Linked DNA regions of Stegostoma tigrinum. The protein of the gene in region 2 binds, or shares a complex with, the protein of the main gene of each other region. Links are inferred from orthologs where the notes say so. Each region holds a gene or a part of one and is shown on either strand. Other genes may lie near its edges. The genes, in order: b9d1, transmembrane protein 237-like, cep290 and b9d2.

The links.
Region 1: transmembrane protein 237-like (region 2) and b9d1 share a complex: the UniProt entries of both Homo sapiens proteins name them as parts of the tectonic-like complex. The link is inferred for Stegostoma tigrinum from reciprocal best matches to the Homo sapiens genes TMEM237 and B9D1.
Region 3: transmembrane protein 237-like (region 2) and cep290 share a complex: the UniProt entries of both Homo sapiens proteins name them as parts of the tectonic-like complex. The link is inferred for Stegostoma tigrinum from reciprocal best matches to the Homo sapiens genes TMEM237 and CEP290.
Region 4: transmembrane protein 237-like (region 2) and b9d2 share a complex: the UniProt entries of both Homo sapiens proteins name them as parts of the tectonic-like complex. The link is inferred for Stegostoma tigrinum from reciprocal best matches to the Homo sapiens genes TMEM237 and B9D2.

What each region holds. Positions count from the first base shown.
Region 1 is NC_081376.1:40,138,508-40,145,917, forward strand, and holds the start of b9d1 (B9 domain-containing protein 1), read right to left. Parts: upstream 3,012-7,410; 5' UTR 2,940-3,011; coding exon 2,877-2,939; intron 2,867-2,876; exon of another isoform or gene 2,780-2,866; coding exon of another isoform or gene 2,732-2,779; intron 1,008-2,731; coding exon 939-1,007; intron 1-938. UniProt on the Homo sapiens protein: Component of the tectonic-like complex, a complex localized at the transition zone of primary cilia and acting as a barrier that prevents diffusion of transmembrane proteins between the cilia and plasma membranes.
Region 2 is NC_081360.1:20,407,663-20,415,434, forward strand, and holds the start of transmembrane protein 237-like, read right to left. Parts: upstream 3,007-7,772; coding exon 2,950-3,006; intron 1,640-2,949; coding exon 1,554-1,639; intron 484-1,553; coding exon 470-483; intron 1-469. UniProt on the Homo sapiens protein: Component of the transition zone in primary cilia. Required for ciliogenesis.
Region 3 is NC_081371.1:48,912,504-48,920,144, reverse strand, and holds the start of cep290 (centrosomal protein of 290 kDa), read left to right. Parts: upstream 1-4,626; 5' UTR 4,627-4,779; intron 4,780-7,641. UniProt on the Homo sapiens protein: Involved in early and late steps in cilia formation. Its association with CCP110 is required for inhibition of primary cilia formation by CCP110.
Region 4 is NC_081392.1:8,436,668-8,444,066, forward strand, and holds the start of b9d2 (B9 domain-containing protein 2), read left to right. Parts: upstream 1-4,395; 5' UTR 4,396-4,642; intron 4,643-5,859; exon of another isoform or gene 5,860-5,863; coding exon 5,864-5,951; intron 5,952-7,399. UniProt on the Homo sapiens protein: Component of the tectonic-like complex, a complex localized at the transition zone of primary cilia and acting as a barrier that prevents diffusion of transmembrane proteins between the cilia and plasma membranes.

The DNA.
Region 1 (7,410 bases), on a different chromosome or scaffold from region 2:
ACTTCGAGAAGAAAAATGTGTACTAAATATTAAAATACAATGTAGATGATATGCAAAGAGAGGTTTTTATTCCAATTCCAATCTTCACCTGTAAAATTAAGTTTCTTTCAGTCAGTGTCATTCTCATGGTAATAAAATTCTCAGGAAATTTTGGTGTACCACATAAATCTGTAGTTCTATTTGTTTCTTACAGACCAAAAGATGTGGCATGAAAATTTCATGTATTAACCCCTACACTTTACTGAGAGTCTAGTTACACCTGTAGAGTGTCAATTTATGATCTTTCTGAATGATAATTTGTCTACAATGCAAAAAGCTATCTCATTAGCTAAAAGACATAACAGACTTAGTTATTGTAAATGTCAGGAAAGTGTCCTAAACCATTCAATTATTTCAAAACAACATTTCTAAAATTTATTTTCTACAAAAGAACATTTTGTACACAACACAGTGTATAGAAACTGTTGAAAATCAACAAAAAGCACACTACTTCACAATCTTATTAACAATTTATTTAAATTAGATAGGCTAGGGGTGTAGTTTCTGGGGTTATTTATCTAGCAACAAAAAAACCTCAAGCAATTTATTTCATTTAGAAGTATTCTTACAATAAATATTTGGATTAACAAAAATAGCACAATCATTAAGGAGTTCAGTAGTTTATAATGACATCATTAAGAGTGCATCACCACTGAGGTGACATTTCATTTAAATTTATGATTTTAATTAGCTCCTATAACATAAGAATAGTGCTACAAGGCAGCTGTAATTCTGGAATGACTCAATATCCAAGGATATCCAAGAATTCAAATTATATTACATTGGAAAAGCACAGAATTCAGACTGTCATTGTAACTAAGCTTGTAGTCATTTATTAATTATTATAGGATTAAATGTTTATCCCACAATGAGCTGAACGAACTAACATCAACACTTACTGTTGTTGGAGCCCAGTCATGTCCATACACATAGGAGTATTTGCAATACAGCTCATCAAACTCTGGAAACTGGGGAAAAAATAATTTGAATTAAAATGAATAAAAATTGCAAAACTTTTCAAATGCTGATATGCTTGGTTTTAAAGTTTCACATTCAATATTGGTGAGATTAGTATGTTTTGAAATCAGAGACCCACAAAATATCTGCAATCAAATTAGTATTTTTATAACATCAGTTAACAGCATGCAGGAATTTGAGTCTTTATCTCATGAAGGCTTTAACAGAATCAAAATTTTCAACCAGGAGAAAGTTACAAAACTGCAACATACAGATAGAAATACAAATTTTGTTAGAAGTCTGGCATTGCGACTTATTCACTGTCATATAATGAGACAATAATTAGAAATAACTTTCTCCTGGGTTGAAACAACAGTTTATATCTGAAGGGCTGAATATTATTTGGAGAATAAACAGTTTTGTTGCAATCTGGCTACTACAATTTCAGTGCAGTCAGTCAATGTTTGAGGGATCAAAACATCCTTACAACAGGGGTCAACTTAAACATATAAATTAAGCATATGGGTTAGTGCAGGAAGGCACATTTCTGTTGGTCTGTTGCCACATGAGGTCTGTGTTAGAGTGTCTTAAACTCCCATGCACATTCATGGTAACACACTCCATTTTGCCTGCTTGGTCCTATACTTTGATGTTTCGGCTGGTAGAACCTTAATTTGTATTTCTGAGCTGAAAACTGAGCCTTGCTCCTAATGCAAAACAAAGTACTAAACATGCACTTATTAGCTAAAAAAAAAATGGCAAATATAGGTCTGAACTTAAACTTTGACTCAAAAGAGTTGACTTCAAGGCCATTTTGTTACAGTACTAATCTTTTCTAGGGTTCACCTTCATATCAACATTATAACTGTTCTTCCTAGAGTCTGTTTTGACAGCAGCACAGTCATTGGAGTGAGACCATATTAAAAACTCCGAATGTTATCACCCTCTTCTCTAATCTATAATTGGTAATGCATTCTTTGAATAAACTGGAAAGCTCTCCCAAAATGTTTTAATTCAAATTCAGTGAATGTTCATTTTTTATAAGGAGGTATTAAGGCAGGTGAACAAAAGTTTACTCAACAGGCAAGTTTAAAAGAAGGAACTGCAGAATGGGGAGGGGGAGCGGGGGCAGTGAGGAAATCTTTCAGGGTTAAGGACTTACACAGTGGAATACGTGACCACAGTGATGATGTTATTAAAATAAGACAAGCTCAAGACCCCAGAATGAAAGCAGAGTTCCTATAAGACGAGCTGGAAGAAATTATTTAAATAGGAGAAAAACCCAATATGGAGGGATTTGAAAACAAGGAGATGTTGATTAAGTGGGATAAAAACAGAAAATTCTGAATATACTCAGCACGTCTGGTAGCCTCGGGGGAAGAGAAAAACTCCAGCATTTGCATTATTTTTCGTTTCTTCGATGGTTTAACTGGAACCAAGTCTGCAAGAGAGGGTGATGGCGAAGTGCGGACCATCTGTTTGCGAATGTGTTGATCAGGAAATGCGGCAGTTAAGATGTTATTCCGACTACCAAAAATGATCCCTTGGCAGATACACCAGATACCCACACTAAATGTTTCTCCCTTAGTCTAAGGGAGGCGTTCAGAACTTGAGCTCTGCATTGCATGTACTATAATAGCTGGTTTACAAAGTAACGAACGGATATTCTTTGAAATTGGTAACTAATAAAGGATACTCTTTGCAACTCGCCACAAGGATTCTAAAGCGCACTTACTATGGGTTGGTTGCCGAGGGGATTGCCGCCAGCAGGCCCGGGACACATTCACATCCAGACTGAGTTTCAGGATAGAAACTGGATCATACAGGCGAAACACTCAGGGCATAACATCCCTCTTACATTGAATAAAAGCAATGCTTACATCAGCGCTTTCGATCTGCCCGTTGACCATTAAAAGGAACACAGACGGTTTTCCGGACAGCATGTTTCTCAATCTTACGTGTTTATCCCACCGACTCCCAGCCTCACCATCTCCAGGACGACGCCCGTCACTGTCTTTGCGCCTGCGCGGCATGTGATTGGCAGCAGCTGAATTCCAGCCCCAATGCCGGAACCTCTAACTCATTTTTCCGAACGTGCATGCTGCAAATCTGGAGCAGTCAAAAAAATTAAGGTCAATCATTCTTAAAACCCTAACCCTATCATATTTGCTAAATTCTTAAATGTGAAAAATGAACTATCACCTTTTTAGACCGTTGTGCTAACGAAGACAGCTGCTCTGTTGAAACAAGTACTTGGTTCCTTGCAGTGTACAGGATTGAAATGCTGCTCTTGAGTTTCTGTTTTCATCGTCATCGAGCAATAAAGGCAAAGTTGTCTTGTAAATTTGTCCAGTGTGTTGTTTTGCTTTATGCGCATCCATTAAAGGTTAATGAATAAGCTCAACTAGATTGTACCACAAATTCTTGTTTTCAGTATTTGTTTCTTCTGACAAATGTTTCTAAGGTTGGTCATCCAATAGCTCTTCAGTCATTATAGAAATTTTTAAAATCCCCACAACCCATGTAAAGACAGTGGCTTCCTTCCTGTTGACAGTATGAAAAAACCTCCTATGTCAACATCTGTGATCTCAATGGATTCTTTGTCCTTTTGAATTCCATCATGAATTTAGAGTTCTTCAACAAGGTTGTTTTTCTACAGTTGTTCTTTTGGAATTAGTTGAAGTCCTTCAGTTACTGCAAGGATGTTCAGATTAAGATACTGTAATGACTTAAAAGTGAGGCTTGTGAATAACATAAATATTTTCAATTATCATATGCTTCTTTATGCAGTGTTACTTCTAGAATACCTTCATGCTTTACAGTTATTTCACTTGCATCATGTAGTTTCATCTCAGTATCTGTACCTGCTGTTTCTTCAGCAATAATATGAGTGACAGTCACACCTTTATAAACTTTAAAATTGATGGATATCCATGAACATGCAGCATGCCAATGTGGGTCAGTTGAATCACCAATTTCACATAGGAATGCATCTCTTCTAATCAATCAGGTACATTGTCAAACAAGAGTATCATTTTGAAAAAGGAGGTTCTAAAATATGAAGCTGTTTGTGCGAGTAAGCATTGGCTTTTTGCTGCTTTCCAACTGTATCCTACTTCTGCACATTTTCTGGAAGCAATTAACAGTTTTACAAATGTAGCATTCTTTCATTTTAGCTAGACACGCTCATGAGGTTTTTTGTTCCACCATACAGATAGTGACTCACAGTATTTGCTGTTAGTGTACATTTTGTGTTTATTTGTCACGTCTGTCTGTAGAGTGTTCATACTTCTTAAATTAGACTTTGTTGGTCTCCGATGGCAAGGTTTTCCTGTTCTCTTATATTATATCAATAAACCCTTCCTGATTTCTGCTTCCAACACAATTTGAATAGCTTTATTCACAGTCAAATCTTCTTTCGATTATAATAAATCTGACAAAGACTCATCAATAATTCCAACAACAATTCTGTTTCTTATGAATTCAGATTTCAATGCTCCGCAGCCAGTTTTCCACTAATCTATAGAGATCATAATAAAATTGTTAACGGATTCTCCTGCATGCTGAACCTTTTTGTCAAACATTGGAATTTGTTCTCAGATTAAAGTAATTATAGGTATTAAAGGCATTAGAACTTCTCAACGGTATCTGTCCCTTAAATTAGATTTGATTATTTTTAACATCATCAGCTGTTGGGCCTTCTGAATAGAATAGTGTACTTGTTCGTTCAGCTTGAGATCTGTTATTTAATTTTGAAGCAATCGTGTATCTTAAGAACTGTGTTCGCCAAGATTCTGAATCCCGTCATCCTTGTTTTGCCCATCTTGTCTGAACAATAAGATATAGTTAATTGCATGATACCATTAGTGTAATTTATCTTGATTTGGTAAGCATAATTACAAAGGCTTTCAGGAGCTGCAGGTGGCACAGCAGTCTAAATAGGGACCTCGTAAATTGCCTATTCTCTATTCAGACTGTGTGATATCGTCAGATTGGGATGAACCTCATCAATAAATCTTTCAAAACCACTATCTTGTACAACAAAAGAAACATTCAACCCAGCCATTAAAATTTGAACTAAACAGCCAAAATATTGAATGTGACTAAGGGAAGCATGTGTATGAATGTATTGGATAAATTGTAATTTGATGACTGGATGCTGTGTGTTTAAGGGTAGCATTATAATTCCAAAACTAATGCTGAGATGGGCCTTAAGGTTGAATCATTGACTGACTTAATCAATATCACTATAGCAGATTTGCTGGTCATTATGACATTGGTCACATTTTGGGAGTTAATTGGGTACAAACTGAGTGCTACATTTTCCTTATTGCAACAGTGAATGCACTGGAGTGGTTATAGCATTTTGGGACATCCTATGGATGGGGAGGGCAGTGGACAGTAACACACTTTTTTTTCCATTAGTTATAGAGTCATAGACTCGCACAACACTGAAACAGACCCTTCTGCCCAACCAATCTGCACTGACCAGGCATCTGAACCTGACCTAGTACCATTTGTCAGCATTTGGCCCACATCTCTCTAAACCCTTACTATTCATATACCCAGATAGAGCCTAGACAGAGAGAAGAACAACTGGGCAGACAAAGGAGTGTAAAACAATCAACCTAGGAAACTGAATAGCTACTACTGGGGACTATTATTATTTGATATCTAATAAAGGTGTAGGCTGTTTCTTTAAGCTTGCCTTCAAAGTTTGGAGTGCTCTTTTTGCTAGACCATTGGATCATGGATGGTATGAAGCTGTCCTTATATGTTGAATGCTAGTCAACTTGAGGACATACTCAATACCTGCTGGTAAACAATGGTCAGTTTTCTGTGGCCAATGCTTCTGGCAGTCCATGTATTGCAAAAGATGTGCGCAGTTTTTTTTATCATCATCCCCATGTTTAATTAACTAACTCTATGCACATTTGAGTGGGCATCCAAAATGACTGAGAACATTGAGCCCATGGAAAGACTTGCATAGTCAACAGAAATCAAGTCCAGGGCTTACCCAGCCATTACCATGAATGTTTGAGAGGTGTTGGTGGTAGTTTTTGTCCTTGTGGCACTCTAGGTACTACCCAACCAATGCAGCTATATTTGCCTTAAATCCTGGCCACCAGATATAACTCCTCACCCACATTTTCATTTTGGAAACCCCTGAATGACACTAGTGGAGTTCAGCCAGTATCTGATGGCAACCTTTGCTCAGGACAATCATTCTTGCTCCTCATAATAATATGTGTCATCTCCTGTGATCTGGTCTCTCCAAGTCCAAAAAGATTTCAATACTGGTTGTAATGGACCTTTGGCTTCCCCCATCAGTACTAGCTGTTTCAGTTTTGTCAGGACCAGATTTGTTTTGTGTCCCAAGTCTGATATTGTCAGCTGTGACTGGAAGCGTGTCCAAAATATTTAAAACCATTACAGATTGTTCCAGTGATGGCACCACTGGTGGTGTATCTGCCAGCAGGAGGCGGCTCAATGCATCCGCACTTGTTACATGACATCCCAGACAGTATTCCAAGTTGTAATCATACAGACTCATTTTTAAAGTCCACCACTAAATTGAGTCTGAAGCTATGGGCAGCACTGTCTTGTACTCTATATGTAAACCTAGTGGGAGTTTGTAGTCTGTTATTATTACAAATTTATGTTCGTAAAGGTATTAATAGAACTTCCTGACTCCACACATGACCACCAAACCTTCTTTCCCTATCTGGGCATACTTACAGTCTGCATTAACCGAGTTCCTGCATGCATACGCTATTGGGCATTCCTCTCCATCATTTCACGCACGAACTAATTCTACCCTGATGCCATATACAGGGAGGCATCACATGTCAATACCAGATCTCATTTGGGATCCTAGTGTGCCAACAACATAAAGGATGACAGCTATTTCTTCACTTTCCTGAAAGCCAAGTCTTGGCTACATCACCATTTGCAAGGCTGACTCTTGTCAGAGTGTTTTTTTCTTTATTCATTCACGGGATGAGGACATCATTGGCTAGTCAGCATTTATTGCCCATCCTTAATTGCTCAGACGGCAGTTACAATTCAACCACATTGCTGTGGGGTATACAAAGTATAGAGCTGGATGAACACAGCAGGCCAAGCAGCATCAGAGGAGCAGAAAGGCTGATGCTTCATGCCTAGACCCTTCTTCAGAAATTTCTGAAGAAGGGCCTAGGCCTGAAACGTCAGCGTTCCTGCTCCTCTGATGCTGCTTGGCCTGCTGTGTTCATCCAGCTCTACACCTGGTATATCTTGGAATCTCCAGCATTTACAGTTCCTACTATCTCTGACACATTGCTGTGGGTCTGGAGTCACATGCAAGCCAGACCAGGTAGGGATGGTAGTTTCCTTCCCTAAACAGTATCAGTGAACCAGATGCATTTTTTTGAC
Region 2 (7,772 bases):
AAGGAACATGTAATCAATGGTGGTGAAGTTGTCAGTGGCAAATCAGAATAAAAATCTGACGAGAAAAGCATATGCTGGACTCATCTACTATTTAAAATAAACAAATTAAACAAAATTAGTGTCAACAACCCTGAAGGCACACTAACTAAAGTAAAAACTCTGAAGGAAGCTTACTAAATTCAGATTAAAAGATCGTTTTGCAGGATAATGATGCCTCTCAATCTGGTCCCTGTCTAAACAGCGTTCAATATCTGGTGTTCAACAACCATGATTATTGCATGCAGTTCTGTTCTTAGCTGGTGCACAAATTATCTGCAACCATCTGCAGCAATAGCTGGACAGAAAACAGGTGCAGCAGTTCCTTTGTCCACCAGTTATTAAATAACCAATTCACTTAACAAGAACTGTCAATAAAATAACAAGTCATCACAGACATCTGTGGGAGGACTGGTTAAAATTAAAGGCTTACCTTTGACTTTGGTGCTTCAGGTCCATCAGCCAAGAGAAAGAAAATAAACAAGGTAAGCATACAGACACAGTGTAAAACATTAACTAAACGAAAAACCAACAAATGTCCTCCTTTATCAGAGAACACCTCAACTCACAGGTCTTGTCTATATTCATCAATATAACTTATTCAGAATATCACCATATCATTCCATCCCGTGTCCTTCCAGGTGCTCATCTAAATTCTCCTTGGCCCCTCCAGTTCAATGTTTCTCCCTATGTGTCATATACCACAACTGGATTAGGTACTGAGCAAACAGGGACTTTTGATTTTCCTTCTTACTCCTAAGTTCATCATTTTCTAACCATTCCCCTGGGATTTGAATCTTAACAGATGTAAACAACTGCACTCTATCAACTTTTTCAATTATCTTCACAATCTTGAAAACTTGAACCAGAGCATCTCAAAACATCACCTTTTGCTTCTCCCTTTGAAAGACAATAACCTCTTACTACAGCAAGTACTACACATCTCCAAATAGATCCAAGACAGCAATTCTCAGAGCAACAACATTATTTTCCTTGCATTTGAGCTACCTGCTAACGGAACCCGTAGCCTTTTCTTTCTTCTGCAACTAATAGGATGGTCAGACATAACTTCCATTTATCTCCAAAAGGAGGCTGAGTCATTATGCTGGAGTTATAATTTGTCATCAACAACAGCAAAATATTTCCCAGTGATTACAGTTTGGATTTCTGGCTTCTTGAATTCTCTGCCTGGAGAGAAATTCAACGCACATGCAGCAGGACCTGCAACACAGGCAGGATAAGGAGGCAGGTTGCAAATCTGCCTCAGTCAAAACAAGGATTAAACCCCATGCTGTTGGCATCAAGCACGCCGATCTGTCCTTTCCAAGGAGTGCACACTGGCGTGAGAACATGTATTTTTATGTATATGATGTAGTCTGGAGTTACAGACAATGACTACAGAGTCTCTATTTCTTTCCATCACACAGCTTTCGAGCAATACCATACAACCTTTGTGCTGTCTGTCAGAAGCATATATGGATTGATACGCAACCGATTTGGCCAAATTATAAAATTACCTTCTTTGGCCATTGAGTCCTGGAGTCTGATTTGAGCCTGGAGCTCCTGGCCCAAAGGCAGATATGTTGCCCACTGGACCACAAGTCTTCCATGAGTTACCACATACTGAAATTTTAAATTCCTTGCATCTTTCTCTTCTTCAATCCTGAAGCCTCTGATTCTTGTTGTGGTACAAGGAATCATGGTTACAGACTGGCCAATCTTGTCTCATCGAAGTGGTAATACAAGCTGGTGGCACAGTCAACTATCATACAGTCAACCTTACATAGCATCCAGCTGGGATTAACAGATGGACAGTTAGAAACAGGAATCATGAATCATGCTTGATTTCCCTGCTGCCACCAACACTAGGCAAAAATATTTATAACAACACCCTCCTGTTGCACATAATGGCAATGCTCCAGGTGATCCTGCAACTACCAGAAACTGAGGTTGTGATCTTCTACGTAACTCCACAGTCATATTTTTAAATTCATTTAACAGATCCAGGTTTTGCGGGCTGAATATTGGCCAAACCTAACTGCCCTTGAGAAAGTATGGTTGGCTGTCTTATTGAAACACTACTGTCCATGGTGTTTAGATGCTGCCAAACTATACTCGTGGATGTAAGTTCCAGGATTATAATAATGGTTTCCTCTCATCAAATTCCACCACTAGTATAAAGAATATTCAAGTTCAGTCACAGGAAAGAATTAATGTATTCAACTATCTTTGAGCAAAGGGAAAAGATACCAAATCACAAATGTAGAAAAAATACATTGTTGTATTTCATATCACAGAACTGAACTCCCAACCCATGACCCAACAGCCAGCCCACTTGTCCAGCTAGCCCACAATTATAACCTGCTTCCCGGCTCGCCAACACCCTGCTCATTATCCATTCACCCAACACCTGGCCCACTGCCCAGCTAGTCACCACCCAGCCTGCTACCCACCTAACACATAGCTCACAGCAAACTAAGACTCAGCCCACTCTTCAGCTAACTAACTTCAGCTAGCTTCCAACCTATGCAATACACAGTGCATTCCTAACCCACCTCACTATCTACCTAACCAATACCTATCATGTAGCAACACTACCCAATAGTTCAGCCATTTCAACTCAGCATCAGTACTTAACAGCCCTAATACTAAACACAGTCTCAGTCTCACAACCCAGCAGCCTGACCGCCAAGCCAATCCTACCAACGCACTCCAACAGCCCAGGACCAGCCATTGACATGCTACTCAGTGATCCTGTATTCTGTTCCACTGCCCAACCTCCACTAAAATTAGCCACCCACCACAGATCTAAAATTTACCAAAATATTTACCATCACAGTATCACATTTTTGTTACTCTCCAGTTGCAGAGGGCAGTGACACACAACTGTAGCTCCATTCTTAGCAGTCTTACCTTGGCACTGGTGGAAGTGCACGTGGTGGGCGCTGAAATAAAACCACAGAAAGTCATCGTCAATATCAAGGATGACACCATTACACAGTATGCATGCCACTGTCAATTCCTGACTCAAATCAACCATCTGAAGGCTGTCGGGGGCATTCTGTCACAGTTCCTGACACAATCATTATGACACCCCGAGGCCACAATCCAGGCTGATATTATCAAAGACGTGCTTTTCCAGATGTAACATGAAACTGCAGCTCTATTTGCCCTCAGAAGGGCATAAATGATCCTGTTTGAATAAAGGAGCCCTTTCTTGTTACAGCCAAAATTTATTATTGAAACAACAGGTCCATAAACAGTTTTTCTGATCGTATATTGCATTTTTTGTTTGTGGAATTTTAGTGAATATTACCCCATACTTGAAAAAGATAGTAGGTTGTTTATGAAAATTTTGAGGCCGTCTCAATAAAAGAAAGGAACTGTATAAATACAAACTTTCACTTTCTTCAAAATTGATTTGATAAAAGAAAACTGCTGATAAATTGGGCTGAGAGAGATAGAAGGGACTGCCGATGCTGTAGAATCTTGAGATAACAAGGTGTAGAACTGGATGATTACAGCAGGCCAAGCAGCATCAGAGGAGCAGGAAAGCTGACGTTTCGGGTCTGGGCCCTTCTTCAGAAAACAATGTGCTGGCAACAGTTCATTGAGAATAATGCAAGGGTAAGAGTGTGTTATTCACAATGAACTCTCTAAGTTCTGCTATAAACATCTCTCACGCCAGCACTCAAAATAAAAACAGAACAAAAAAATGAAATCCACACAAACCCTGTCAGCACGTGAATAAAGGTTAGTGTTTCTTGTACCATCAAGTGGGATTTACCGTGTCACAAATATGAAAATGATTTTCCCTTTCCAGATCAAACTTAAACTCTAGCTTCTCACCGCTTGCTTCTTCATGGTGTCTGTGATCTGCGAATCTCAGTAAATGGGTCAACAGTGACCTTACTTCAAACTAATCCAACATTAAATCCTTCACAAAGTGGATTAGCTCGTAGACTATCCATATGACAGCTGTGACGGGGGCAGGATTTGGAAATCTTGTCACCAAATGTAAAACACAACATGATGAATATTCTCCCTCTTAAAGCTGGCACTGTAGGGATGGCCCTTCACTGTCAGTGGAACAATAATGCTTGAAGAAAGTGAAGGGATTGGAGATTGCTTTCTAACCATTCTCCTGCCAGGCAAATAGAATCCCACCAAGGTCTTCATGACACTAAACTGAGCTGATTAATAAAACCAATTCTTAACTGATTCCAGTCTCTTCCACAATATACTAGAGCTACCATCATCATCTGACCTGTTGAAAATGTTAGGCTTTTTTCCTGGTAACTCAATTGGGATGACAAGATGTCATTTGCCAATATAGACCAAAACATTTCTTGTTCAAACCCCAGGTGATGACATTAGTCATCTCTCAGTCAGGACAGCAGCTGCTTACATTTGAGCTCCGAAACCTCGCCTTGTGATGAACTCAATGGCTTGGGGAGGCAGCAGGGTAATTAGCCAGGATTCCCCTGTCAATGTAAGGTAATGACTGCATTGGAATGTCTAGGAGAGCCAGTCAGGGCTCAACAGGTGATTCATGGCAGATGGAGACACAGAATGGCAAAGTGGCCAGTGCCAAGAGAGTGAAGATGAAACAGATCCTTCAGGAGGCATGTGGAGACAATGCAAGAATTCAAACATTATTCTGGCTGACTCAAGGCAGAGCAAGATTGTGATAAAAGCATTAAATTTGCTCACGAAATCCATAAATTCAAATTCTCATCACTCCAAAAGATGTTGTTTCCTAGACATTTTTCTATTCTCACTTTCAGTTGAGAATTCATTGGCTCAAATAATCCAATGGCCAGATAATCATTGATGCAGCTTGGACAGGAGTTGCATGTCATGATCATGCAGAATACCCAAGCAGCTGAATCAGTGGAAACTGTCCAGGAAATGGAATTTTTCAATACGCAATTCCCCTGTACTAGAAAACCTCAAAGAGTCCACTAATCGAAATTTCAATAAAAACCAAGAGAACTGTACATGCTGTAAATCAGAAACAAAAACAGAAATTGCTGGAAAAGCTCAGCAGGTCTAGCAGTATCTGTGGACGGAAATCAGAGTTAACATTTCGGGTTGAGTGACCCTTCCTCAGAACAATCTCACTTAAGCTGATAATTATCCAGGAAATGTTAAAAGATTAAAAACCTAATCCAACACCTGGATGAATATTAAGATGACTCCTCATTGACTTCCCAAACTACATCACCCTGGACTCCTGACAACCACAGCCTGACTCGATTAAATGCATTCTCCCCAACACTGCCATTCTGACCAAGCTCCGTAATCCTGAAAGATTTGAGATCGGAATTGCCAGCAAGAAATGTGGAGCTCAGTCCTAATGGAAGAAAGTAGGAACTGAGTGGCAATCTGACTGTAATTTGCACTCCTTGTTACATGTGGGTTGTATATCTTTCCTACCATTCATGTTAAGCTATCCAGTTCATCGATACAAAATAAAAACCGAAAGAACTGCAGATGCTGTAAATCAGGAACCAAAACAGAAGTTGCTGGAAAAGCTCAGCAGGTCTAGCAGCATCTGAAAAGAAAAAAAATCAGAGTTAAAGTCAACAGACCCAAAACGTTAACTCCAATATTTTTCTTCACAGATGCTGCCACACCTGCTGAGCTTTTCCAGCAACTTCTATTTTGGTTCATTGTTGTATTTAACGTCAAAAATAAACTCTAACTTCTGATTTATCAAAGTTCTGACATGAATCTTTCTGAAACAAATTATTAAACGTGCATAATCCTGCCCCCACTATCTTCTCCCTGTTTTCTTTTTAAAACATGTGGACGTTCACAACAGCGGTCAAGCGTCATAGTCTCAGAGCTTGATTATTCACAGAATTGTTATGATGCAGAAAGAGACCAATTTGCCCTCGAACTCTTCGAATAACATCACTCCCTTGTGCCAGTCTCATGATTTTTCACGATACACTTGCAAACTATTACTATTAAATAATCATCCAATGTCATCTTGAATGTCTCGTGAACCTGCCTCTGACAGACTTCTAGGTGGTACATTCCATACCCTAACTACTCGCTGCGAAAACAAGTATTTTTTTCCTCTCAACACTTAAATCTCTCGTTCACGTTCCTTTTACAGGCTTCTCCTTATCTACTCCATCCTGACCGCTCATGATTTTGAAACTTTCCATCGAATCTCCTCTCAGGCCTCTTCTTTCCGAGGGGAACAGTCCCCAACTTCTTCGAACTATCCTCAAAGTAAAGTTCCTCGTTCCTGGAACTATTCTTATATATCACTTCTGCACTCTCCCCTTAATACTTACTTAGTATTTCTCACGTTTGATGCAACAGCACCCCCTTCCCCTTTAGCAAGAAGCCATCAGCAAACTAGAGTGGGGGTCAGACCCCGGGGTACTGAGGCCAGTAGGCACCACAGTCCGCCCCCATGGCCATGTGGTGCCGGCTCGTGTGGGATGGGTGTGAGGATGGGAAGGTTCTGTGGAAGGTAGTGTGGGGGGGTTTATGGGAAGAAAAAATAAAAAACAATGGAAGCCACTACCCCCTGGAGACCCCAATAAACCTGAGAAAAACTATAAAAAAATGGAAAAAAATGGAGAAAAAATGGAGAGAGAGAGAAAACAAAATGAACAAAAATGGAGAGAGAGAGAAAAAAATGGAGAGAGAAAAAAATGGGAAAATAATGGAGAGAGAAAAAAATGGAGAGAGAGAGGAAAAAACATGGAAAAAACAATGGAGAGAGAGAGAGAAAAATAATGGAGAGAGAGAGAGAAAAAATGGAGAGAGACAAAAATGGAAAAAAGATGGAGAGAGAAAAAAATGGAGAGAGAAAAAAAATGGAGAGAGAAAAATGGAGAGAGAAAATATGGAGTGGAATAAAATGGAGAGGAAAAAAAATGGAGAGGAAAAAATGGAGAGGAACAAAATGGAGAGGAAAAAAAATGGAGAGGAAAAAAAAATGGAGAGAAAAAAATATGGAGAGAAAAAAAATGGAGGAGAGAAAAAATGGAGGAGAGAAAAACAATGGAGGAGAAAAAGAAAAAAATGGAGGAGAGAAAAAAATGGAGAAAAAGAAAAAAATGGAGGAGAAAAAAAATGGAGGAGAAAAAAATGGAGAGGAAAAAAAAATGGAGAGAGAGAGAAAAAAATGGAGAGAGAAGAGAAAAAAAATGGAGAGAGAGAGAAAAATGGAGAGAGAGAAAAAAAAAATGGAGAGAGAGAGAAAAAAAATGGAGAGAGAGAGAAAAAATGGAGAGAGAGAGAAAAAAATGGAGAGAGAGAGAAAAAAAATGGAGAGAGAGAGAAAAATGGAGAGATTAAAAACAAATGGAGAGAGAGAGAAAACATGAAGAGAGAGAAAAAATAAATGGAGAGAGAAAAAAAATAATGGAGAGAGAGAAAAAAAGAATGGAGAGAGAGAAAAAAAAATGGAGAGAGAGAGAAAAAAAAATGGAGAGAGAGAGAGAAAAAAAAATGGAGAGAGAGAGAGAAAAAAAATGGAGAGAGAGAGAAAAAATGGAGAGAGATAAAAAAAATGGAGAGAGAGAGAGAGAAAAAAATGGAGAGAGAAAAAAATGGAGAGAGTAAAAAATGGAGAGAGAGAGAGATAAAAAAATGGAGAGAGAAAAAAAAAATGGAGAGAGAAAAAAAATGGAGAGAGAGAGAGAAAAAAAATGGAGAGAGAGAGAAAAAAAAATGGAGAGAAGAGAGAGATAAAAAAATGGAGAGAG
Region 3 (7,641 bases), on a different chromosome or scaffold from region 2:
AGACCCTTCATCAGAAAAAAGTGTTATGTTCATCCACTCGCAATCTGTTTTACTTGCACCTCCTCCCTTTTTCTGCAGTATTAGAGACACAGTTTTCCAGTTCCTCAGTTCCATAGAAACAGTGTACTTGAAGCATAAAGTCTGTTCCTATCTACACAAATGCTACCGGATCAGTTGGGTTTCTCCACCACCGACTGTTTTGGCTTCTGATTTCCAGCATCTGCAACAATTAGCCTTTATCATCTGTCTCTCCCACTCACTTGGAGAGCCATTCACTCTGGAGACTCCCAGGTTGAGTCGTACCATCAGGACATCAAAGAAAATATACAACAAAGGGTTAAGGGGCACAAGGTAAAGAGTAAAGGGGAGTTAAGGGATAAAAAAGGAGTAAAGAGCAATGGGGGGGGTAAGGGGGGCTTTGAAATGAGTTGGTCGCCCAGCGGCTCCCCTCTCCCAATCTGTCCTTCCATTTGACAGGACCCGATACTAACCTGACCCCCACCCAAACGAACCCCCTCCCTTACCACTGCGGTGCTCCTCCCTGCTTCAAGACTCCACCCGCCGTTCTGCTAATTGCCAGCTCCTTTTAGCGACATCTCCTAGCAGCCACCCCTTTCCCTCCGACCCACCAACCAACCAACCAGACAGCATCCGCTTCCGGTCCGTTCTTAAACGGCCCTCCCCTCTCACTTCCGGTCCGTTCCCCTCCCCACACCCGGGGGCACAGCGGCTGCGGCCAGTGGGTCCGGGCTGCTGGTTGTTCCCCGCGTACCTTCTCTGGAGAAGGGTTTAGGCCCGAAACGTCAGCCTTCCTGCTCCTCTAATGCTGCTCGGCTCATCCAGCTCTACACCTTGTTATCCCATGCTCTCATGTGTTTGCACATTACCTCGACAAACAATCTTTACAGGAACAGCAAGTAGAAAAATAAAAAAAAACCGTTGATCTGAAATAGACTCCTGCTAATGGGAAATAAAAATGGAAAAATGCTTATATTTAGCATTTGGTATGCAACCTTGCAGAGTGGATCTTGCAACTGCTCCTGGGATTGCAGGCTTAGTTCAGGTTTATTTTACAGCTTTACAGTTATTATAGTCATCATATTTGGATGGATAGATGAATGTGAAAGGTTTGAAAGGATATGGGCATGGAGTAGGTAGGTAGGGGCTAGTTTAGTTTGGAATTATGTTTGTCATGGACTGGTTGGACTGAAGGGTCTGCTTCCGTGTTATGTGACTCTGACTATAATTACAAGGGAAAGCAAGACAATTGTTCAGATGTTTCTCCTCTGAAATAGAAACAAACTGCATATATCATGAGCTTTGGTTTGATTTGATTCATTATTGTCACATGCACATAGGTACAGTGAAAAATTTTGTTTTGTATGCTGTACAGGCAGATCATACCATAGTAAGTGCATGAGTGTAATAGAACAGAGCGAGGAATACAATTTGAAATTTCTGTTCATTCATGGCATGAGGGTATTGCTGGCAAGCCATGTGTTGCCCATCCCTAACTGCTCTTGACAAGGTGCAGTGAGCTACTTTCTTGAAATGCTCCAGTCCATGTGATGAAGGCAAACTCACATTGCTGTGAGGAGGTGTTGCATTTTGGTAAGGCATTCCAGGGCAGGACTTACATAGTTAATGTAGAGTACTAAGGAATGTTGCCATAGAGACGTGGAGTGGAATTGCAGGTAGACAGAGTGGTAAAAAAGGCGTTTGGCATGCTTGCTATCCCTGGTCAGAGTAGTGAGTATAGGAGTTGGGATGTCACGCTGCAGCGGTAAAGAACGTTGGTGAGACCATTTTTCGAGTACTGAGTACAATTCTGGTCACTCTTCTATCGGAAGGATGTTGTTAAACTTGAGAGGGTGCAGAAAAGATTCACAATAATGTTGCCAGGACTGGACGGTTTGAATTATTGGGAGAGACTCAAGATGCTGGGGCTTTTATCGCTGCAGCATTGGAGGCTGAGGCTGACCATTAGAGGTTTCTAAACTCATGAGGGGCACGGATACGGTGAATAGCCAAGGTCTTTTCCCTAGGGTGCGGGAGTCCAAAACTAGGGGGCATAGGTTTAAAGTGAGAGGGAAAAGATTTAAAAAAGATTAGAGGGGGAACTTTTTCATGTCAAGGGTGGTGCACATAAGAAATGAGCTGCTGGAGGAAGAAACATGTTAAAGGCATCTGGATGGGTATATAAATAGGAAGAGTTTATGGGAATTTGGGCCAAAAACTGGCAAGTGGGACTATGTCAAATTGGGAAGTACAGTCAGCACAGAAAAGTTGGACTGAAGGTTCTGATTCCATGTTGTATGACTCGATAAGTGAATTCCAGGATTTAGACCCGGTGATAAGGAAAGTTCAGGGATAGTCTTGATGTGTGTGACTTAGAAGGGCACTTGCAGGTGGTGGTTTTTTGATATAAATCTAGGCTGCACTCATCCTCCAACAGTAGCTGCTTCGATTGGTTGTATCCAGGTAATTCCACATGTTTAGATCGAGGAACATCTCCCAATTTAACTGCTACAAGATGATCTGCAATTGGAATATTCCAGTACTGACTGAATTACACTATCGAACATCTTCAAGTTTTAATCTCTAAAAATTGATTCTTGACATAAACATGACTTTCAAAGATATAGCAGGCATAGTATTAATTGGCTGAGTATTTTTAATAAAAATATCATTTTCATACTTTACTATTTATGCTGTTAGCTTAGACAATAGACAATAGGTGCTGGAGTAGGCCATTCGGCCCCTCGAGCTAGCACCACCATTCATTATGAACATGGCTGATCATCCACATCAGTATCCTGTTCCTGCCTTATCCCCATAACCCTTGATTCCACTATCTTTAAGAGCTCTATCTATCTCTTTCTTGAAAGTATCCAGAGAGTTGGCCTCCACTGCCTTCTGGGGCAGACCATTCCATATATCCACCACTCTCTGGGTGAAGAAGTTTTTCCTCAACTCTGTTCTAAATGGCCTACCCCTTATTTTTAAACTGTGTCCTCTGGTTCTGGACTCACCCATCAGTGGAACATGTTCCTGCCTCCAGAATGTCCAATCCCTTAATAATCTTATACGCCTCAATCAGATCCCCTCTCATCCTTCTAAACCAGTGTATACAAGCCCAGTCGCTCCAACCTTTCAACATATAATAGTCCCGCCATTCCGGGAATCGACCTTGTGAACGTACGCTGCACTCCCTCAATAGCAAGAATGTCCTTCCTCAAATTTGGAGACCAAAACTGCACACAATACTCCAGGTGCAGTCTCACCAGGGCCCTGTACAGCTGCAGAAGGACTTCTTTGCTCCTATACTCAATTCCTCTTGTTATGAAGGCCAGCATGCTATTAGCTTTCTTCACTGTCTGCTGTACCTGCATGCTTGCTTTCATTGACTGATGTACAAGAACACCTAGATCTCATTGTGCTTCCCCTTTACCTAACTTGACTCCATTGAGCTAGTAATCTGCCTTCCTGTTCTTGCCACCAAAGTGTATAACCGCACATTTATCCACATTAAACTGCATCTGCCATGCATCCGTCCACTCACCTAGCCTGTCCAAGTCACCCTGTATTCTCATAACATCCTCCTCACATTTCACACTGCCACCCAACTTTGTGTCATCAGCAAATTTGCTAATATCACTTTTAATGCCTTCGTCTATATCATTTATATATCGTAAACAGCTGCGGTCCCAGCACCGAACCTTGTGGTACCCCACTGGTCACTGCCTGCCATTCTGAATGGGACCCATTTGTCACTACTCTTTGCTTTCTGTCAGCCAGCCAATTTTCAATAGCTTCTGAGACTGAGGGCTATATTCAATTAGTAGAGGTACTGAAGGTGCTGAATATGGCAATAAACAGAAGAAAAGTTAGCAGTGTTTGGTCCAATTAGCCAGCATGTTTCAACAACAATTTTGTTTTGGTTATTTTGATGGACAGTCATCAGACTTTTGACACTGACTGATATTCAGACAAATAGCAGTGTTGAGCTAAAGATGATAGTAGGGCAGGAAACTAAAACTAGACAGAGAGGTGGATTTCAATGTTTGCCCTTAAGGATTACAGGTTACTGGTGAGTATTTGACAGGGAATTCCAGAGCTTTGGTGAAACCTAAATACTGTAGTTCCTGGAAATCTGAAATAAAATTGAATATGTGAAGAAAGTATTCATGCTTTGAAACCAAAGCTTCAGAACTTGAGCCTGTACTGTTACAAGTACCAAGCCACCAAGGCTGAGTCAATAATAATCGGGAACTTGCAATAAACCAAAAATGCAGAGATGGTGGAGGAGAAAGCAAGAATTGCAGATGCTGGAGTCAGAGACAACAAAGTTTGGAGGTGGAGGAACGCAGCAGGTCAGGCAGCATCAGAGCAGCAGGAAAGTTGACATTTCTTCCAAGTGTCCTGACCCGAAACTTCAACTTTCCTGCTCCTCCTGCTGCCTGGCCTGCTGTGTTCCTCCAGCTCCACACTGAGATCGTGGAGGGCTGTAGACAAACAACTCAAACGTTGCTGTGTTCTCCCTCTAACATCCTACCACCATTTAGTCGCTTATAGCATACACGACTGTATTCCATTAGTCACTGCCAGTGCCACCTGGAGAAGGGTCTTTCTGAACCAGGTGAGGGCAACCCGGAGGCAGAAATATCGCGAGAGTGGCTACCTCATGTCGTAAAGTGCCTTAACATCTGCCGTAGAGGCATGATGGTCGCCTAGCAGCAGCTTCCAACGGTCCCGCTGTCTCGGGCGCCCGGCAGAGAGGTAATGGAATCTCTAACTCTTTCTGTCTTGTTATTAATAAAATACCCTGAAAGCGGTTCAAGCTGGGCCGTGAGGCGCTGCCTGTAAGGACGGGACACTGACGTTAGCGAGTGGATATTACAATGCGCCCGGGGGACATGAGTGAATATATATCACACTCCCCGCCCCCGCCCCCCGGGGACGTGAGTGAATATATATCACACTCCCCGCCCCCGCCCCCCGGGGACGTGAGTGAATATATATCACACTGTCCCCCTCCCTCCCGGGGGACATGAGTGAATATATATCACACTCCCCGCCCCCGCCCCCCGGGGACGTGAGTGAATATATATCACACTGTCCCCCTCCCTCCCAGGGGACATGAGTGAATATATATATTACACTTCCCCCCCAGGGGACATGAGTGAATATATATATTACACTTCCCCCCCCCAGGGGACATGAGTGAATATATAATCACACTGCCACCTCCCCCACCCCGGGACGTGAGTGAATATATATCGCACTGTCCCCTCCCTCCCAGGGGACATGAGTGAATATATTATCACACTGCCCCTCAGGTCCCAGGGACATGAGTGAATATATATCATACTGTCCAACACCCCCACCTTGGGTGACATGAATGAATATATATCACACTGCCCCCTCCCCAGGGACATGAGTGAATATATAATCACACTGCCCATCTCCCCCTCCCCCTACCCCCAGAGGACACGAGTGAATATATAATCTCACTGCCTTCCCCCCCCCCGCCCAGTGATGTGTGCCAGTGTATGTTGTTACTGCCCCCCACCCCTACTGATGTGAGTGAGTGTATGTTCCAGTGCAACCGTCCTTTAGTGACATGTGCCAGTGTATATTGCCCTGCCCCCCCCACACCCCCGTGACATGAGCAAGTGTATATTAACACTCCCTGGCGTTCCATTCCTTCCCCCACTCCTGGGTGACATGAGTCAGCGTATATGATACTGGCCCCCTCCCCCAGTGACATGAGGAAGTGGATATTACATTGCCCTTCTCTCCTCCCACCCCTGTAATGTGAGCAAATGTATATTTCGCTCTGCCACCTCCCAAGGTGACGAGAGCAAGTGTACATTTTGCTGCCACTTCAGGGTGATATACTACACTGACCCTGCCCCCTGCCCCATGACATGAGCAAGTGTATATTTACACTCCTCGGCATTCCCTTTCTTCCCCCCCCCCGGTGAAATGAGTGAGTGCATATTACACTGGCCCCGTCCCCTAGTGACGTGAGCGAATATATATTACACTGCCTTCCCCTGGGTGACGTAACCGAGTGTGTATCACACTGCCCTACCCCAACCCAGGCTGATGTGAGCAAATGTATGTCACAATGCTTCCACCCCTTCCCCCAGGTGATGTGAGTGAATGTCTGTAACGCTGCCCCCGGGTGATGTGTGCAAGTGGACATTACACTGCTACTGATCCCAGCAAGTATCAGTTATACTGCCCTCTGGGTGACATGAGCACACGGATGTGTCACACTTTGCACACACCCAACCCCACCATCAGGGAAAGAAAATGTATGTTGGCAGCTCGGTTTGAGTTACATGGTTTTTTTTAATCACTTCTGTGTATTAAAATGTAGGGCAAGAGGCAAAGCATATCGACCACAGCAAAATGACTTATTTTCCCCATGACAATATTACAAATTTAATAAATATGCCCAAAATTTTTTTTAAAAGCTTCGGTGTTGATTTTACCACACTTATGTGGAAACCACATTCTCCGCAGATGGCTCAAATTTTCATGCAACACCAAGACCTGCAACATATAGCTGACAAAAATCAAACTGCCTTGTAGCCTCCAGAGCCAATCCATATTATTATAAGGAACAGTTTTTTCTGTGGCAGTATACTCCTTTACTGGCCTTTTGCCTTTCAGCATACATTACGACCTCACCAAGTCTCCTTGGCTTCTTCTAAATCTCACACCAACAGCCATGTAGAGGGACAAGGACAGCAGATACATAGGTGATGTGGTCTACCTACACTAAATGGACTGCAGTGGATCAAGAAGGCACCTCCTTCAAGGCATCTTTGAATGGGCAATAAATGCTGGCCCAGCCAACGTTGCCCTCGTCCCCTGAATGAATTTTGAAAAGCAGAGATAAGCCTAACCTCACCCAAAACGCTCTTGCCTGTGACCTAACTCTCACTGAGTCCCATTTATGTGTCACTCCTTGCTCGCTGACTTGTATTGGTCCCAATCGTGCCATACCTCTATTTTGAAATTTCCCATGTTCAGATCTCTCCATGGTCTTGGCCTTCACATCTCTATGACCTTCTCTTGTCCAACAAATCCCTGGATACTCTGCACTCCTCCAGATAGAACATTTTCATAAACATTGGAGACTGTGCCTTCAGCTACTTGGGCCTTAAGGTCTGGAATTTCCTCCCTGAAACTCTCCATCTCTCTCTTTTACTTCCAGACACTTGTTGAGACTGTTCTATTTGTGATCATCCATCCTAATAACTCTTTATGGCATTACATTTTGTCTAACAATGTTCCTCTGAAGCACGTTGTTGTGTGAATTTGATGAGTAAACTCAAGTTCTGATGAACATTCACAGGACTTGAAAGATTAACTCTGTTTTCACTCCACAGATGGTACCAGACCTGCTGAGTTTCTCTGGAAATTTGTGTTTTTGTTTCAGATCTTTGGCATCCACAATTTTTTATTTTATTTTGGTGAGATAAGCTGACTTGTTCCTCAGAAATTCATATCCTGAATTTTCTGTCCTGTGAATACCTTTCATATTTTCTGATAAATAGCTATTTAGTTTTCATGATTTGGGCCTCTTCAGTAATAATTTGTCCCATTTGCTGTTCAGTAGAATAT
Region 4 (7,399 bases), on a different chromosome or scaffold from region 2:
GAGGGATGTAGGAGAATCACAGAATCCCAACAGTGCAGAAAGAAGTCGTTCAGCCTGCATCGACTCTCCAAACAACATAGCACCCAGATGCAGCCCTTCTCCCATAACCCTGCATTAACAACAGCTAATCGCTGAGCCTACACATCCTGGGACACTATGGCCAATCCAGCTAATCTGCACGTTTGGACCGTGGGAGGAAATTGGAACACTGAGTAAAAACACACACAGACACGGAGTGGGCGGGTATGTAAACTCCAGACAGTCACCTGAAGGTGGGAACTGAACCCGCGTCCGTGGAACTATAAGGCAGCAGAACCAACCACCCCAAAAGACAGGGAGGAAGAATGGGGGAGGTGGAGAGGGGATGTTGGGATGTGAGACGAGGAGTGGGGGCGGTGAGGAATAAAAAGTGGAAGGGGGAACATTGGGGTGTGAGAGGAGGAGCGGGGACGGTGAAGGATAAAGGGTGGCGGGGGAATGTTGGGGTGTGAAAGGAGGAGCGGGGGTGGTGAACAATAAAAGGTGGAGGGGGAATGTTGGGGTGTGAGAGGAGGAGCGAGGGCAGTGAAGGATAAAGGGTGGAGCAGGAATGTTTGGGTGTGAGAGGAGCAGCGGGGGCGGTGAAGGATAAAGGGTGGAGCGGGATGTTTGGGTGTGAGAGGAGCAGCGGGGGCGGTGAAGGATAAAGGATGGAGCGGGAATGTTGGGGTGTGAGAGGAGCAGCGGGGGTGGTGAAGGATAAAAGGTGAAGAGTGAACGTTGTGGTGAGAGAGGAGGAGCGAGGGTGCTGAAGGATAAAGGGTGGAGCAGGAATGTTGGGGTGACAGAGGAGGAGCAGGGCGGTGAAGGATCAAGGCTGGAGTGGGAATGTTGGGGTGTGAGAGGAGGAGCGGGGGCGGTGAAGGATAAAGAGTTGAGCAGGAATGTTGGGTGTGAGAGGAGGTGTGGGGGCAGTGAAGGATAAAGAGTTGAGCAGGAATGTTGGGGTGCGAGAGGAGGAGTGGGGGTGGTGGATGGGGAATGTAGGGCTGTGAGAGGAGGAACGGGGATGGTGAAGGATAAAAGGTGGAGCGGGAATGTTGCGGTGTGAGAGAAGGAGTGGGGGCGGTGAAAGATAAAAGGTGGAAAGGGGATTGTTGGGGAGTGAGAGGAGGAGCGGGTCAGTGAAGGATAAAGGGTGCTGGAATGTTTGGAGTGAAAGGAGGAATGGGGCCGGTGAAAGATAAAGGGTGGAGCGGGAATGCTGGGGTGTGAGAGGAGGTGTGGGGGCGCTGAAGGATAAAAGGTGGAAAGGGGAATGTTGGGGAGTGAGAGGAGCAGCGGGGGCGGTGAAGGATAAAAGGTGAAGAGTGAACGTTGTGGTGAGAGAGGAGGAGCAGGGGTGCTGAAGGATAAAGGGTGGAGCAGGAATGTTGGGGTGTGAGAGGAGGAGTGGGGGTGCTGAAGGATACAGGGTGGAGCAGGAATGTTGGGGTGTGAGAGGAGGAGTGGGGGTGCTGAAGGATAAAGGGTGGAGCAGGAATGTTGGAGTGCGAGAGGAGGAGTCCGGGTGGTGAAGGATAAAGAGTTGAGCAGGAATGTTGGGGTGCGAGAGGAGGAGTGGGGGTGGTGGATGGGGAATGTAGGGCTGTGAGAGGAGGAGCGGGGATGGTGAAGGATAAAAGGTGGAGTGGGAATGTTGCTGTGTGAGAGAAGGAGCGGGGGTGGTGAAAGATAAAAGGTGGAAAGGGGAATGTTGGGGAGTAAGAGGAGGAGCGGGTCGGTGAAGGATAAAGGGTGCTGGAATGTTTGGAGTGAAAGGAGGAATGGGGCCGGTGAAAGATAAAGGGTGGAACGGGAATGCTGGGGTGTGAGAGTAGGTGTGGGGGCGCTGAAGGATAAAAGGTGGAAAGGGGAATGTTGGGGAGTGAGAGGAGGAGCGGGGACAGTGAAGGATAAAGGGTGGAGCGGGAATGTTTGGGTGTGAGAGGAGGTGTGGGGGCGCTGAAGGATAAAGAGTGGAGCGGGAATGTTGGGCTGTGAGAGGAGGAACGGGGACGGTGAAGGATATAAGGTGGAGTGGGAATGTTGGCGTGAGAGAGGAGGAGCGGGGGCAGTGGATGGGGAATGTTGGGGTGTGAGAGGAGGAGCAGGGGCGGTGGAGGGGGAATGTTGGGGTGTGAGAGGAGGAGCGGGGGCGGTGGAGGGGGAATGTTGGGGTGTGAGAGGAGGAGCAGGGGTGGTGAAGGATAAAGGCTGGAGCGGGAATGTTTGAGTGTGAGAGGAGGAGTGGGGGCAGTGAAGGATAAAGAGTTGAGCAGGAATGTCGGGATGCGAGAGGAGGAGTGGGGGTGGTGGATGGGGAATGTAGGGCTGTGAGAGGAGGAGCGGGGATGGTGAAGGATAAAAGGTGGAGCGGGAATGTTGGGGTGTGAGAGAAGGAGCGCGGGCGCTGAAGGATAAAGAGTGGAGCGGGAATGTTGGGGTGTGAGAGGAGGAGCAGAGGCAGTGAAGCACAGAGGATGAAGGGGGATTGTTGGGGTGTGAGAGGAGGAGCGGGGGCCGTGAAGGATAAAGGGTGGAGTGGGAATGTTAGGGTGACAGAGGAGGAGCGGAGGCGGTGAAGGTTAAAAGGCGGAGGGGGTATGTTGGGGTGTGAGAGGAGGAGCAGGGGCGCTGAAGGATAAAGGCTGGAGCGGGAATGTTGGGGTGTGAGAGGAGGAGTGGGGGTGGTGAAGGATAAAGGGTGGAGCGGGAATGTTGGGGTGTGAGAGGAGGAGCGGGGGCGGTGAAGGATAAAGGCTGGAGCGGGAATGTTTGAGTGTGAGAGGAGGAGTGGGGGCGGTGAAGGATAAAGAGTGGAGGGGGAATGTTTGAGTGTGAGAGGAGGAGTGGGGGCGGTGAAGGATAAAGAGTGGAGGGGGAATGTTGGGGTCTGAGAGGAGAGGGGGTGGTGAAGGATTAAAGGTGGAGGAGGAATGTTGGGGTGTGACAGGAGGAGCGGGGGCAGTGAAGGACAAAAGGTGGAACGGGAATGTTGGGCTGTGAGAGGATGAGTGGGGGCGGTGGAGGGGGAATGTTGGGGTTTTTGAGGAGGAGAGGGGGCATGTTGGGGGTGAGAGGAGTGGGGGCGGTGGAGGGTGAGTGTTGGGAGTGAGAGGAGGTGTGGCGGCGGTGGATGGGAAGTGTTGGGGGGTGTGAGGAGGTTTGGGGGCGGTGGAGGGGGAATGTTGGGGGGTGAGAGGAGAGGGGGCGGTGGAGGCGGAGTGTTGGGGGGTGAGAGTAGGAGAGGGGGTGGTCGTGGGGGAATGAGAGGAGGTGTGCGGGCAGTGGATGGGGAGTATTGGGGTTTGAGAGGAGGTGTGGGGCAGTGGAGCGGAAATGCTGGGGGGTTAGAGGAGGAGTGGGGGTGGTGGAGGGGGAGTATTGGGGTTTGAGAGGAAGTGTGGGGCAGTGGAATGGGACTGTTGGGAGGTGAGAGGAGGTGTGGGGGCGGTGGAGGGGAAATGCCGGAGGGTGAGCGGGGGCGGTGGAGGGGTTATGTTGGGGAGTGAGAGGAGGTGTGGGGGCGGTGGATGGGGAGTGTTGGGATGAGAGAGGACAGGGGTGATTGAGGGGGAGTGTTGGGGGTGAGAGGATAGGTCAGTGCAGGGGGGATGTTGGGGGGTGATAGGAGGAGAGGGGGCGTTGGAGGGGAAATGTTTGGGGGTGAGAGGAGAGGGGACGGTGGAGGGGGAGTGTTGGGGGTGAGAGGATAGGTCGGTGGAGGGGGAGTGTTGGGGGGTGAGAGGGGGCATTGGAGGGGGAATGTTGGGGGTGAGAGGAGGGGTCGGTGGAGGGGGAGTATTGGGGGGTGAGGAGAGGGGGTGGTGGAGGGGGAATGTTGGGGGGTGGCGAGAGGTGTGGGGGCGGTGGAGGGGGAATGTTGGGGGGTGAGAGGAGGTTTGGGGGCGGTGGAGGGGGTACGTTGGGAGGTGTGGGGGCGGTGGAGGGTGAATGTTGGGGGGTGAGAGGAGGTTTGGGGGCGGTGGAGGGGGTACGTTGGGAGGTGTGGGGGCGGTGGAGGGTGAATGTTGGGGGGTGAGAGGAGGTTTGGGGGCGGTGGAGGGGGTACGTTGGGAGGTGTGGGGGCGGTGGAGGGTGAATGTTGGGGGGTGAGAGGAGGTTTGGGGGCGGTGGAGGGGGTACGTTGGGGGGTGAGAGGAGGTTTGGGGGCGGTGGAGGGGGTACGTTGGGGGGTGAGAGGAGGTTTGGGGGCGGTGGAGGGGGTACGTTGGGGGGTGAGAGGAGGTTTGGGGGCGGTGGAGGGGGAATGTTGAAAAGCTCTGGAATGGGGGTGGGTTTTCAGCCGATGCTTGACCTCGCCCCGCCCCATACATATCCAATTGGCTGAATGCCGTTGCGTTCCAGCCAATAGGCGAGCACAATACTTGGTTGCCAAGAGCTGAGGCATCGATGGCGGTAGCGGAGAAATAGTTAGCGAATAAGAAGACTGGGAGAGGAGGAGAGAGCGAAAGAGAGAGATAGATCGAGACTACGGGCAAGAGATAAAGAATTAAGGAAGACGAAGGGAACGGGGACATTTCACGGATGTCACGCGAAACGCAGTGCCCCTCTTCTTGATGCTGATTGGTTGATCCGTCGAGTGGCTACGTTCCGATTGGTGGGTCAGCATGTCAATCATGGTTAGGACCGGGCCTACATCTGGCAGGAGTCTGTTTAAAATAACCAGAATAACTAAATTAACAAGAACAGCTAATATAAAACATCCAGCAAGATCACTGGATTCAAATGTTAACTGTTTCTCTGCCCACCGATTCTTCGAGACCTGCTGAGTTTCTTTTCTTCACTCACTACTCTCCATCAGAAAACGATATGGGCAACAGTTTGGGGTTAATCGCAGAGTAAATCGGCCTTTACTTATTAAACTGAAGCCTCAACACTGTGTCAATCAAACATTCCCAGGTCAGGGACAGCATTGAAACAATGGATTGTATTGATTACAAAAGTAGAATTTGCTTGTCAAGCTCAGCAGATCTGGCTGCATCTGTGGAGAGAAGCCAGAGTTAACGTTTCGAGTTGAGTGGCCCATCCTAAGAACTGATTGCATTGATTATTTCATGTAGTTCTTGGGGCTGTAAGGATCAAAGGGTATGAGGAGAAAGCAGGAACACGGGACTGAGATGGATCATCGGCCAGGATCATATTGAATGATGGAGCAAGTTTGAAAGGCCATATGGCCTACTCCTCTCTTGTTATGTTTTTGTTGACCTTATTTGTGCTGAAGCACTTGTAAACAAAAATCAGTTTGCTGTATGGCATTGCCTCTACTCCCGGCATTTCAAGGAATCAAAAGAAACATAAGGAAAATTTTTTTTTCATGCTGAGTGTCGGGAATGCACTACGGTTTCGTGGAGGCAAACTCACTTAAGGCTTTGGAATTGGATAATTATTTGAAAAGCTTTGTATGCCTATGTGAGAATGGGACATGCTAAGTTGCTGTTGGAAAGAGATGGCACTGACACAAATGACCTCCTATGTCAACCATATTCAAAATACTTTATAAAGCATATTTGTAGTTTGAGGAACTGAGAGTTCCTGAGCTTTGCCTGCTCTGAAAACCTTGGAGTAGGAATGAAAGAATTGAAAGGAATGAAGGAATTTGAGTTAACCCTCAACAATACCTTTTAGAGTTTGCAATTTTAAAAATCATTTTTGACAATTTTTATCTGTGGGTATGTTTCCCTGGTTCGTTGGGTGCTTGACCTGAAATCTGTTTAGCCAGAAGAATGGAAGTAATGTTTGATACCAGGGAGTGTGATTGCTCTCTGTTTGGCTGAGGGTGCAGTTTGTACATAGCCTAATATTCTTTTTTTGCAGGAAGATGGCTGAGCTGCATATTATCGGACAGATTGTTGGAGCAAGTGGTTTCCCGCATAACAGCCTGTTCTGTAAATGGGGGCTGCAGACAGGTGAGACTCTTGCTGATGTGTGTGTTGGGAGAGGAATGGAGGATGTTGAGAAACATGAGTATCATGTGCCACATTTAATTTCTTCTACGTTTATCTGCCAAGGCCAGAATTAGTTTCCCATCCCCAATTGCCCTTGACTGAGGGGCTTGCTCGGACCATTTTGCAAGGCTGTTAAGAGTTAAATATGTTGTTGTCGGTCTGGAAACACATGTAGGCCAGATGGGTAAGGATAACAGATTTTCTTCCCCAAAAAATGATAGTTTCATAATCACCATCATGGGTTATTTAGATTTACTGTCCAAATTTATTAATGGAATTTAAATTCCACCAGCTGCTGTGATGGGATCGAAACCACGTCCCCAAAGTGTGTATGGGGATACTTTGGATCGCAAGTTACAACATTACTGTTGTTAGCACCTCCCTGCTAAACTGCATTTCCTGGTAGTACAGCAGGGGTGCTGGCATCTGCTCTGCTTGATTCCTGTTAGAGACGTGGACTTAAAATGGTTTATAGTTCAGACCAAGTAAGGATTCTGTTCAATAAGGGACATTATAGAGAATCACTGGGCTTGTATGACCATGCATAATAGTAGTCATGGTCACTGTTTTTGACACTAGCTTTATATTTCCAGATTTATTAGCTCTAGTCTGTTTAAATTTTCCACAAGCAGATTTTTTTTTTAAATTTCCAATCAACACATCTCAGAAACATATTTTATCTTCATTAAATTGTCTTTCATAGCCTTGTGATGTCCATGTGTAAATTAGAAAAATGTCTTTGAGAAAATAATGTTCTGTATTAGGTTATAGGAGTACTTTTGAGAGATGTGGTAAGCTTGAGATTGTTGACTTGCTCACCAAGCCAACTTGAGCTGACTTCTTTTTGTTCAGACGTTTTGTCACCATGCTAGGTGACATCATCAGTGGAGTCACCGATGAAGCGATGTTATTCTACTCCACTTGGAATTTAAACTGTCTGGTCCGTTGCTCATCGTGACAAAAAGTATGAACAAAAACAAGTCAGCTCAGTGAGCAAGTCAACAACCTCATCCACAACCCAAGCTACAGATATTTGCCAAAACTTTAAATATGGTGAGAGATAGTAAGAACTGCCATTGCTGGAGTCTGAGATAACACAGTGTGGAGCTGGAGGAACCCAGCAGGCCAGGCAGCATCAGGGGAGCAGGAGAACTGACGTTTTGGATTGGAATCCTTCTTCAGATTTGAAGAAGGATCCCAACCCAAAATGTCAGCTGTCCTGCTGTTCTGATGCTGCCTGGCCTGCTGTGTTCCTCCAGCTCCACACTGTGTTATCTTTAAATATGGTAAGCTTGCTTGAGTGGAACCATCTCAGTTTTTCCTTGTCATGTCAGGTGCTTGCTAAACTAATTCATCATGATCAACTGGAAAGATTAGTCTACAATTCTGTTACTGTTGTATCATTTGGC